Schizosaccharomyces pombe: one gene and its partners. Changing the gene in region 1 together with any one later gene gives a genetic interaction. Each region holds a gene or a part of one and is shown on either strand. Other genes may lie near its edges.

What was found.
Region 2: mutations in trm10 (region 1) and rad1 together harm fitness more than expected from each alone (negative genetic interaction), as found in Schizosaccharomyces pombe (2 studies listed by BioGRID).
Region 3: mutations in trm10 (region 1) and hus1 together harm fitness more than expected from each alone (negative genetic interaction), as found in Schizosaccharomyces pombe (2 studies listed by BioGRID).

The regions. Positions count from the first base shown.
Region 1 is NC_003424.3:2,425,992-2,429,723, reverse strand, and holds trm10 (tRNA m(1)G methyltransferase Trm10), read right to left. Parts: upstream 1,790-3,732; 5' UTR 1,705-1,789; coding exon 790-1,704; 3' UTR 634-789; downstream 1-633. Other genes in the region: DNA primase catalytic subunit Spp1, read left to right, coding at 1-555; ribosome assembly protein Rsa3, read left to right, coding at 1,949-2,191; epr1 (ATPase co-chaperone protein), read right to left, coding at 2,257-3,310, 3,445-3,533. UniProt on the Schizosaccharomyces pombe protein: S-adenosyl-L-methionine-dependent guanine N(1)-methyltransferase that catalyzes the formation of N(1)-methylguanine at position 9 (m1G9) in cytoplasmic tRNA.
Region 2 is NC_003424.3:4,976,775-4,980,952, reverse strand, and holds rad1 (checkpoint clamp complex protein Rad1), read right to left. Parts: upstream 2,376-4,178; 5' UTR 2,335-2,375; coding exon 2,199-2,334; exon of another isoform or gene 2,073-2,198; coding exon 1,832-2,072; exon of another isoform or gene 1,789-1,831; coding exon 1,194-1,788; 3' UTR 815-1,193; downstream 1-814. Other genes in the region: SPOM_SPAC1952.08C (pyridoxamine 5'-phosphate oxidase), read left to right, coding at 167-391, 467-814; SPOM_SPAC1952.06C (uncharacterized protein), read left to right, coding at 3,513-4,178. UniProt on the Schizosaccharomyces pombe protein: Recombinational reparation of DNA damages induced by UV and gamma radiation.
Region 3 is NC_003424.3:4,820,357-4,824,725, reverse strand, and holds hus1 (checkpoint clamp complex protein Hus1), read left to right. Parts: upstream 1-2,022; 5' UTR 2,023-2,147; coding exon 2,148-2,190; exon of another isoform or gene 2,191-2,238; coding exon 2,239-2,347; exon of another isoform or gene 2,348-2,412; coding exon 2,413-2,425; exon of another isoform or gene 2,426-2,479; coding exon 2,480-3,074; exon of another isoform or gene 3,075-3,131; coding exon 3,132-3,235; 3' UTR 3,236-3,739; downstream 3,740-4,369. Other genes in the region: fmp40 (adenylyltransferase), read left to right, coding at 77-1,783; eIF2 alpha kinase Hri1, read left to right, coding at 4,353-4,369. UniProt on the Schizosaccharomyces pombe protein: Essential in controlling the S-M checkpoint that couples mitosis to the completion of DNA replication. It is also required for the response to DNA damage.

The DNA of each region.
Region 1 (3,732 bases):
CTACCAGACAAGGATTTAGCATCTGCTCTTCGTAAAAAATGGGAGGTTGATCCTGAACGATCTAGCAAAAATAAATGGTCCGACATTGACACTGTCTTAGCATCTGGTTCTATTGCCTCTATATCTCCTTCAGTAATTGCGATTGCCAAGCAGGACATTGTTTTAACCTATTTGTATCCAAGATTGGATGTTGAGGTTTCTAGACATTTAAACCATTTGCTAAAATCTCCATTTTGCGTCCACCCCGGAACTAGTCGTGTTTGTGTTCCCATAGATATAGAGAGGATGGATTCTTTTAATCCTTTGAAAGTACCCACTGTGAATGATCTTTTGCAAGAGTTGGATAAAAATTCCCAAAATGATAACGGCCATGGTCCAACAATGGAAACTAATACAACAGAAAACCAAAAAGATAATGCTAGGGGACAATCAAACAAGGGGCATGGCTTTTCAACTTCTCTCAATCCTTATACGCTGTACTTTAAATCGTTCAGTAGCCAGCTTTTTAAAGAAACAGTAGGAAATAAAAGAAAACATGAGAATTTGGAATTTTAAAATCGTATTTCAACAATCGATTCAAGCTTTAACTAAAAATTTGGGCATACATTTACTCATGAAAGGATGGAAGCTCTGACTTCTATTTACGTGGAGCATATTGTTTTCCGTTAAATCGACAGTAATAATATATTTTTTAATACCTCTTTATTTATCCTTTTTTGCTAAATACATTATAATAATAAAAACCAAAACAAATCAAAAGCATAACTAGTATGATTTTAAACTAGCGATTTAATTTTCTTTTTCCAATTCACTATCAGATTGATTTGACTGAGACCTAGTATCCTCAGAAACATCAAACGATTCGTCGCTTTTAAGCAAAATTCCCTTTCTTTTTGGAATGACCTCCATGAATGCCTTTTCCCAATCTCTGTACTCTAACCAAAGAGATAATATTTCAAAGACCTGATTAACCGTAAGTATTTTCCTATCCGTAATTTTAATGTATTCATCAATTGGAAGCTTTGCAGTTTTGATCCCTTGCTCAGACGCTTTATTTTGACATAAATTTTTGTACCGATTCTTGTCGACAATCGCACCAATAATATAAATCTTGTCTTCATCGAGTTCGGTGATGGTGTTATCTGAATCAGCAGAAAGATATACTAATTTTTCTTTTTGGGATTCAAATTCCTCTAAATAAGACTTAGTAGTTGGGTTGTATCGTTTCCAATTATTTTGTTGCCCCTTTAGCACAAAATCTTGTCTGGTTTTCAAACGTCCACCAAAGTTGGTAGCAAAAAGTTCTACAGGATGTAAAGCTGTACGATTTGCAGAATGACATCTAGTAACCTGTTGACATAAAGAGTTGATTTCTTTATCGTTCATCAGATCATCAAATGCACAATCCAAAACAATTCGGATACTACTAGGAACGACCTTTCCTAGTCTGATCCTCTTCTTTTGACTTTTAACTACTTCGCCAGCTTCAATTTTTCGCTTTCTTTCCTCTTTTCGTAATCGCTTTTTTTCCCGGCGCATCTCTGCTCGCTTTTCACGACCTGCATCCCACTCTTGCTGTCTTTTTAATCTTTTTAATGCAGATTTGCTAAGAACGGGTTGCTCTTGAGTTTCATTTTTAGAAACGTCAGCTTCAGAAGTATTTGTGTCATCTTTACCAATATCTAAAGCGTCTTTGTTTTCCATAATTTCCCAACTTTATTGCAGTCAAAATATAGCCTAAATTTATCTAGTTATATCGTTATTTTGAACCTAGCCAGGCTGTTCATCTAATGGAAAAAGTAAGAGTGTTGTGAAGTATAAAAAGTTGGTAACTACGCCAATCTCGCAATTATTAACTTTGGGTAATAAAGGGATTCAGGAAGTCGAAAATAAAAAAATTTTGCAAAATTGTATTATTTACAAACTTCGACAAAACAAGCTTTGAAAAATGGCAACAAACGATCAAAAAATCGATAACAAATCGACGGTATCAAATATGCTTGAAAATCCTATGTTTCAGACATTTTCAAAAAAAGAAACAGAAAAGCCATCACTATCTGAATATATGGAACAACTTACTTCAGAGTTTGGAGAAGAGCTAGACAATTTAAGGCAAAAGGAAATTTTTGATCATAACAAACTACAATTGCTTATTGAAAGTTTGCGTGCTGGTCACAAAATTTATGAATAATGGTTTATATAACTTAGCAAAAAACAGACCTGTATTATTCTATTAAAAAAGATAAGCTTGCGGTGCTAATCTTGATCCAACTTATCGTCTTCGTTCAAAAAACCATCTTCGGATGCTGTATAAAACTCGTTATCAGAGATTTCGACAAAAGTAAATGTTTTTTCTATTTCCTCAAAACTTCTCGTATAGAAGTCAGAGGAAGAAACTTTGTTCGAATATGGGGATTCGCTAGGAGCATCTTCGGGTTGTTTATTCGATTCCGCGTTTTTCTGGGCTTCTTTTGCGTGCTTTTTTATTTCTTGGTTCATTTTCCTTAAATTTTTTTTATGTTTTTTGCTGTTTTCATGGTTCTCCAATTGATTTTGTGATCGAAAGTTCTTGTTACAAACCATACACATTATTGGATTTGAATTCACAATTTCTTTGCTCAAAGATTCATCATCGCTGGATGTTTCTTCCTGATCGATTATTGTCCAAGACGCAATTGATTGGTTTTTAAAAGTTTCCTGGTACTGACGCCGATCACGTTCACTTTGCTTTCGCGATGCTTCTTGTAGGGAGTTGTATCTTTCTCCATCGCTTAGTTTCACAACGTTTTTTCTCCGTGGATCAAGATCACATGCTTTTCCTATTAAATCTCTGACAAGTTCGTTATATCGCTGAATGCAGTATTGTATCTGCCTTTGATTTTGTCTCTTCATTAATCGCCGTGTAGCTGCATCACTTTCCTCTTCTTCATTATATAGAGCTTCCCATTCAAAAGATTTTTTCGTTGAAAATCTTAGCCATTTTTGATAAATAGGTTTGGCATACGTCCAAAGCCAAGTTGTGTCCCCTAAAGTTGGAAGGTCGTCTGTGGAACCCGCTATTTTTTCGTCTTGTCGCAGTCTTTCAACGAACGCTGAGGTGCTTTCAAAAGGGATTTTCTCAATTGTTTGTAGATGCTGCAAAACGTCTTCAATTTGTACAGAATATTGGTTTCTTAGATAGTCTTTTTCATGCCATTTTCGTTTATCATCATTAGAGAGAATATTGTATGCAGCGTTTATTTGGGAAAATATTTCGTTATAGTCTTCAATGCCCGGATTTCTATCGGGATGATATTGCAAAGCTAATTTTCTGTTATGATTAGTAAAGATACACAAAGGCGATCAATTCTTCACAACTTAAACGATTATGTTTTAATCACAGATCGAAAAGCTGTAAATTTATATTCTATGTTGATTGATTAAGTTGAAAACAAGTTTTCATACCGGTAATTTGCTTTAATCTCTTGCAAGTCAGAGTCATGATTCACTTGCAAGATTTCATAGCAATCCATATCCTTAAAAGGGTTATTCATGATTGGTGATAAATAATTTGCATAAAATCATAAGTTAACCAGTAAAAGACTTATATAAAGTAGCTTCAAAGACAAAATTCCAAGGCCGAGGAGTGGAATGAATTATCAACCGCAATTGAGATTGCTTGTGATAAACTAACAATTCAATTCTACAATTGAAATACAAAAAAAGCAAAAAAATTGAGAGTTGCCCGTTCAA
Region 2 (4,178 bases), 2.6 Mb from region 1:
TAGTATCAAACCTGCTTACTCAGAGAGGAGTACCACCAAAATTTAGGAAAGGATAATCAAGTATAGAAATTATCGTACAGTTTTGTCTGGATCAATAGTTTCCATTCACCAGTATTTATTCTGCAAATTATAATCTTTGTCGCACCACAATAACCTGAAAGTAAATATGGCCTCAAAAGTCGATTCATCTCATGAGTTCCCCAGCCAAATCAAGAGATGCTTGTCCTCATCCAAATATATTCAACTAGCTACTTGCTTTCATGATCAGCCTCACTCTTCTTTGATGACATTTACCTATTTACCTGCAGGAAGCGCTGCCCCTTACGAAGTGGAGGATTGCATTATTTTGTCAACAGGAGAAAACAGTAAAAAATATTTTAACATCAGTTCGGTATGTATCATATTTAAAAGTTTAACTTATCCTTGATCCTGATTGGTATTTTCTTTTTTCTAACATGATGACTAGAATCCTCGAGTATCATTACTAGTTCATGACTGGACCACTAATCGTCAAGAAACAGATCCTGATGCCTCCTCATTGTACACCTTACTTTATAAAATGAATCAGGCTCAGTTCTCGAATACATCAGTGACCTTGAATGGCCTTGCTACCGTTCTTCCAAAGAATAGCAAAGAAGAGGAATTCTTTAGAGAAAAGCATTTAAACACTAATGACAAGGGTAATACGAAACAATACGTGGAGGGTGAGGATATGAGAATTATCAAGATAAAGTTGGAAAGTGCGAGAATTTGTGATCAGAGACTCAACAACGTCCAAAAATGGAATGCAAGAGGAGATGAGACTCCATTTTGAGTAAACAAATGTTTTATGAGTGTCACTTTGCATTTTCTATTTTTTAAAAATCAATAATGTTTGAAGAATTTTTGAATGCTTCGTAGATCTAACCATAATGTATAATCGTGTGTATGATACATGGGAATTTTGTTGGCTACATGCTTTGCTAGACAGCCTAGTGGAAAGCGTCTTGTTTATACGTGTGTTAAATAAGCATAGAAAAAGTGAGGAAACGGTGTGACTTTAAGCTACCTAAATAAGACCAAACAAAAAGCAGGGAAATAAATCATGATTCGTTGAATAAGTGTATTATCATAAGTTGTTCAGTATCAATTGTACCTTTTTCTTTTTTTGAAGTTATCGGAAACACTAAAGTGCTGAGTGCTAAAATTATCATTTAGCTATCCTCATCCTCGGTCTCCGCATCTCCTCGATAATTCGGATCGTTTCGTAAAACGTTATTGTCCGACTGATTAGATTCTGCTGGTTCTTCTTCTTCATCCTCCTCCTCATCTTCACTTACAAGGTCCAAAGGAACAATACAAAAGTCTACAAACGTACAAAGCCCTTCTTGACCGACAAGCATGATTTGAATGCTCAAAGTTCCATTTTCATCAATACGTAGGTTTACTTTAGAACCCACTTGTAATGCTTTCAGCGCATGTCTTATTAATGAGAAGCGGTAGGAATAAGTGTTTTCAGAATCAGTTTCAAAAGACTCTAAAACACTTTTCTCGTTTGGATATTCTATTTCCGTAGTGGATAATGCCCCTACACATCTCAATAAGAAGGTTGATTTTTGGGATGATGTATGAATAATTAAATTTTCGCCCATGTTATTGTCTAATTCCACCAAGGCATCATATAGCCAGTTACTTTTCATAATGATCTTCGTGCACAATGTGCTTGCAAGTCTATTGATGTCAACGTCGTCCTCACATTCCATAGTCAACAGTTCACAAGCCGTAGCATAACCAGCCATTTCCTCTACTCTTTATTTTTGTCAGTACAGAATGTTAATGATAAAATCCTTACTCCCATATAAATGGACAGCCGGGTCCATTATACTGTACTTTGCAGATAACGCCTCGTTTGTGCATTATGTTTACAGTGGGTTGATCCCAGGCACTAGTTGAAATCCGTTCTTTTCCATCTGTATAAATTGATAATGATTGTAAAAGAGGTGAAATCATCGTCTGGAACATATATGTATCCCCATCTGAATCACCCTGAAAATTAAACGTTTGAAACAACGACTTATCAAGAAAGGCGTGAGCTTAATGTGTGAGTGAACAATAAAGAAAAAGTGAATGCATTTCAAGAATCGCATTAATATATGAAACTTTATTAAGTAGCTTCAAATTTTTTAACGATCATAGATGTGAGACTCGACTTGTCTTACCCTGCAAAGACTGCGATTCCTCCACTGCAAACCGTAGTCCACGACTTGTGATTTCGATAGTACATTCCTTTGAAAAATCAATGCATCGTAATGTTGACTGAATCTGCTTTAAGCATACTGTTTCTGCTTGAAACATGCGAATTTACGTCCAACAATAAAAAATTGGTTATATGCTACAACTTGAACACCCGTAAATGCTAATCTTATAAATTGATAATTTTTCCTTCTGATATTAAAGGACTTGACACTTGATTACAAGACCAAACGCAGAATAAGAAAGACAGTTCAAGTTAGAAGTTATTTAGTAAAATTCGAAAAGGTGCACAATTTTAAAAGGTATGCAGATTACTAAAGGAAATGAAAATTGAGATTGCTTTTTCTTTTTTAAAAAAAAAAAAATTGTGAAATATTTTATTCTGATATATAAATTTTTGGAAAGCCGTAAAGCTTAATAGACGAGTATTTTATTTATTAATTGAATAGCATCTACTTCTAACTGTCTTTATTTATTTATCTCTCGACACAGAAATTTTATCAAATTAAATACAAGTTTTAAGAGCCATATTTGAATTTACCAAATGATATTCAAAAAAGCTATAGGATCCCAGTAAGTTGATTGACTCAAAACTAAAGATACAATTAAGGATTTGTAGCTTAATGAATTTGATTGTTTATGAAACAAATGGTTCATTTATTAGACAAATATTGCAAATTGCCGAACTGTTTTAGTGATAATAGCTAAATTTAAATTGCTTTAGAAAATCCATAATTGTAATTTTATCATATATACAGTTAGGATGTCATTTTTACACCCTCTTTTGAAAAGTCATTGCTACAATTAAAAGAAAGGTAATACAAGATGGATCTAATTTCTTCCTTATTTAATCAACCTAAAAAATTTCGAGTTAACTGCATGCACTTTATTTAGCTTCTCTTCTCTTAAATAAACACTTTTTATCCTTCTTCCAATCTCTCCTTTCTTGGATATAAGAGTTGTATAATATTTATAAAACAGAGGGGAATTTACTTGCTGTTATTATTTTTTTCCAAGCTTAGATTCTGGTTTTCACTTTTGATACACTTTGTACATGCCTACATCTTACCTAGCTTTTACTTGAACTGGTAAACGAGAGGAATTTTAGGAACGAGTCAGGCGTTATAATTGAATTGCACGATAGTCTTTTCATAAGGCTTTTATTTTACTTGATGCGGCTATAAAATATAAGTTTGTCAAAATTATTTATTTTGTATCAGACGGTTTTCATATATTCAATTTGAAAAGGAAACTGGCGCATAAAAAATACATTATTCTAAATGGATGTAGATTCAATTTTTAAAAATACCGAGGAAACAAATAAGAAAAGGAACCCTGAGGAAGCAGACTCTTTGGAGCCAGCTAGTAGTCGCAGAAGACTCGCTGAAGAGAATAGCGATGAGGAGAATGAAGAATTTGACGAGGAAGGAGGTAGATTTTTTGGAAGTGGGCTTAAAAAGAGTGAAAAAACCGTTTTAGACTTTTTAGACGAACAGGAAGCCCAGGAAGAACCTGCTTCATTGACTCCTACTGAATTGAAGCGCATGGTAGTACGACTTGAAAAAACAATTAATAATAATCAGGAGTTACGCATCAAGTATTCTACTTCTCCTCAAAGGTTTATAGAATCAGAGGCAGATCTTGATCTGGAAATTCGAAGCTTCAATGTGCTTTCAGAGTATCCTATCCTCATACCCATTTTCCTTAAATTAGATTGTGTTTCCACGTTTTTAGAATTAATGAACCATGAAAATGCGGATATTACTATTACGGTATTGGAGCTATTGATAGAACTGACTGACGAGGATGTTGACCCAGACGCATTAAACTCCTTATTTACTTCCCTTATAGATTCTGGTTTGCTTCCTTTGCTTTCAAATACAATCAAAAGGTTTGACGAATCTAATGAGGAAGACCGACATGGAGTATATTGTGTGCTCTCTCTT
Region 3 (4,369 bases), 2.4 Mb from region 1:
ATAAAGTAAGCAAATTTACACTGGGGCACAATCAAACATTGGTATGCAAAGAACATTAATTCGATATACCAATACGATGTCAAAAAAATTGAAGGATCTCCCTGTCAGCTCAACGTTCACATCAAATCTTCCGCCTGATCCACTGGTACCGACCGTACAGGCAATGAAAAAGGCTGATGACAGAATCTTACATGTTCCTCGATTTGTGGAAGGCGGCGGCTTATTTACTTATTTGACTCCATCACTAAAAGCCAATTCTCAATTATTAGCTTATAGCCCTTCGTCCGTGAAGTCATTAGGACTCGAAGAATCTGAAACTCAAACTGAAGCTTTTCAACAGCTTGTTGTCGGTTCTAACGTTGATGTCAATAAGTGTTGTCCTTGGGCGCAATGTTATGGAGGATACCAATTTGGGGATTGGGCAGGTCAGTTGGGTGATGGCCGCGTAGTATCCTTATGCGAACTTACCAACCCGGAAACTGGAAAACGCTTTGAGATTCAAGTCAAAGGCGCAGGAAGAACACCATACTCTCGATTTGCAGATGGAAAGGCTGTTTTAAGATCTAGCATTCGAGAATATTTATGTTGTGAAGCTTTATATGCTCTAGGCATTCCAACAACACAGGCTCTGGCAATTTCCAATCTTGAAGGTGTTGTAGCACAACGTGAGACTGTAGAGCCTTGCGCCGTTGTTTGCCGTATGGCCCCTTCTTGGATCAGAATTGGGACTTTCGATCTCCAGGGGATTAATAATCAAATTGAGTCTTTACGGAAATTAGCCGACTATTGTCTAAATTTCGTTTTAAAAGATGGATTTCATGGTGGAGATACTGGAAATCGCTACGAAAAACTTCTTCGAGATGTTGCATATCGAAATGCTAAAACTGTAGCCAAATGGCAAGCATATGGATTTATGAATGGTGTTTTGAATACTGATAATACCAGTATACTGGGACTATCAATTGATTATGGACCTTTTGGATTTTTAGATGTTTACAACCCATCTTTTACACCTAATCATGACGATGTATTTTTGCGATATTCATATCGCAACCAACCTGATATTATTATTTGGAATTTATCAAAATTAGCATCTGCTTTGGTTGAGTTAATTGGAGCTTGCGACAAAGTTGATGACTTGCAATATATGGAACAACTTCATAACTCTACTGATTTGTTAAAAAAGGCGTTTGCTTATACTTCTGAAGTTTTTGAAAAGATAGTAGAAGAGTATAAAAATATTGTCCAGAATGATTTCTATGATCTTATGTTCAAACGAGTGGGTCTTCCCTCTGACTCATCTAACAAAATTCTGATAACTGATTTGTTACAAATTTTGGAGGATTATGAATTGGATATGCCAAATTGTTTTTCCTTTCTTTCTAGAAACTCTCCCTCTTCAATGGAGAATGAAGAATATGCTGCAAAATTGATGCAAGCATGTATTTGTCTAAACCCGAATAATGAAAGAGTTAGAAATGAATCTGTCAAAGCTTTCACTAATTGGGTTGGTCGATATAGTGAAGCAACGAAAACTCAGGAAGATTCATCCCGATTAGCGAGCATGAAAAAAGTCAACCCACATTTTACTCTTAGAAATTGGGTTCTTGAAGAGGTGATTAAAGAAGCATACATCGGGAAATTTGAGCTTTTTAAAAAAGTGTGTAAAATGGCTGCCTGTCCGTTCGAAGATACTTGGGGGTTTTCCAAGGAAGAAGAGGATTATTTATGCTATAACACTACTCCCTCCAAAAGCCAAATTCAATGTTCCTGCTCTAGCTAGAACCCTTCTTACTTGCCATTTATTTTTTTAATGTAATTTAAAATTTAGGAATAGCTAATCGTATGAAATAAATGATACAACGAATAGGCTCTTGAGTATAATTTTTTTTAGACTCTAAGACTTTTGTAAATCTTTTTAAATTTTATTCATTAATTTTATTCCACTTGCCATTAAAATTTGCATTTGCTTAATAAAGATTGCGATGCAGTTGCTAATGCCCAGTTTGCTATTTCTTAGCTGGCTTTTACGCGTTCGTAGTTTTTTCGACCGAAAATTTATTATTGGTCGACTTTAACCTGCTAAACGCTTGAATAAACAAAATGCCAAAAAATCTCAATCTCATTAGTTAAATCAAAGACTGAAAATGAGATTTAAAACAAGGATTAGCAACTTGTACACGTTGACGCGTAAGTTGGAAAAGATCAGCAGAAAGTTCGTTTACTAATCAAATTTAGGTCTTGTTCAGGCGCTAGATAAAATTGGAAGATTTTGCTGGCTTCGTCTGATGCCTGAAACTGTAAATTTTGTGATAGTGCCAGATTTTAGGATGACTCAAGTTTGGTCGTAAGTGAAGATATTAAGCATTTAACGGTGAAAAAAATCACATTGTGAAACTAATAAAGAAACAGAGTTTTAGAAGTCGTATGATTAACTATCTTTTTCTATTTGATTGCCCTAACTAACGTAAACGGAAAGGAAACAATATTTGAGGACTATGTCGTCCAAAGCAATGCAGACAACGTGATAAATCTAGAAGTTCCTATAGATAATTTCTATAAAGCCTTACGATCAGCGGCCAACGCTAGTGATTCTACTGTTCGTCTATCCAAGAAGAATAACCAGCCATTACTTTCGTTGTCTACCACTTGGAGTGGAAGGGCGTTTGGTTCGAATATTGTGACTCATAATATACCTGTTCGAGTACTATCACAATCATACGTGTCAGTTATTAAGGAACCAACTGCTCCTGAACCAGACTGTCATATATTCCTTCCACAACTGAATTTTCTAAGACACGTCGTGGACAAATACAAGAGTCTTTCAGACCGTATTATAATGTCAGCCAACATGTCAGGCGAATTGCAGTTATCGGTAAACATACCTTCAGCTAGAGTAAGCACAAAATGGAAAGGATTAGAGAATCCAGAGTTAGATCCTAGTCAAGTCGAAGACATCAGTCGACATCCCTCTCAAACAAGGGCACCCGAAGAATTTGTTCACATGAGACTAGACAGCAAGGACTTAGTCAACATGTTAAAAATATCCAGTGTTGCAAAGCGTGTAATAGCGTGTATGTACTATGAGAGAATCCTTTTTATGACCACGAACTAACCTTTTTACATTACAGGTTTCTGTGAAGGACATGCGCTAGTACTTTATGTTTATATAACAGATCCAGAAGATGAACATACGGCTGTTTTAACATACTACATTAGTACCTATGTGGACTAAGGTTACTTCAATTTGTTTATGATTTGATTTAATTAACGAATAATTGTTATGAGTGACTAGCCACATTTTTAATGTACATTAAAATGAAAAGAGATTAATCAACATCTACCATGCTTATACTTATTTTCTCTCTCTTCCTTTATCGATCTTACCGTTCTTTTTTATTTATTTTATACAGTTGTTGTAATCTCGGCAACTCAGTGTTTTACTATTCCGTTGATATCTCTTAAAAGGATAACACCAAAAAGAAATATAATGTTCAAGTCACAGAAAATCTGTTGATAAAATCCATATGTTTTCACGTTTTCAATGAGAGATACATACGATTAAACACAAACGTATGTTTTCAAGCAATTAACTTGAATATGAATAAACCTTGGTTCATCTTTCTTTAATCTTTTAGACAAGCAACTGTTCAGAAATCTATAAAGTCTCAATTGAACATTTAAGTGCTCAATGGGAAATATATACTTAATAAAAATTGAATATTTTAATCGTTTTTTTGAGAAGATATATGCCATTGACTGTAGCTTCTATTAATTTCCGCCTATTCTTTCTTGTACTTTGGAGGCATCGCTATACATTTTACGTAGAAGTGATGAAAATGGCGAGTTCCTCTTTAAAAGTGCGAAAATTTCAGGCTGTCTGTCATCGGAATTGACTATGTTCGATAGTTATTCCTCCTCCGATGCAGTCGGCTACACATGTAAACTGTACCAACATTCAGTACGAAAGGGGCTGAACGTTGTTACCTAGAAAAGTTGGTATCGCAATAGAGGTAACGATAGTGAAAATCCCACAATAACTTAAATATGGAGAGGTATCCGGGGAAATCCGCTACATAAACAACACATATACAGACATATAAATTGACTTAAACGTACCTTCTTTCTATAATAGTTTTACCGTTCCTTAATTGCAAATTCTTTCTTGTTTTCATAGATAGCATTGTTACTATTATTGTTATATATTCAATATAGACTGATAATTAGGATTGTACATTTCGTTTCATTTAGAGAAAAAAAAAAGGAATAATTTTCATGTTTTAAATTACTCATCTTATTCAATTCTTCTTTCTCTTTTCTTATTTGCTTTGATTTGATTCATTCACACAAGAATGCTCGGCACTTCTAC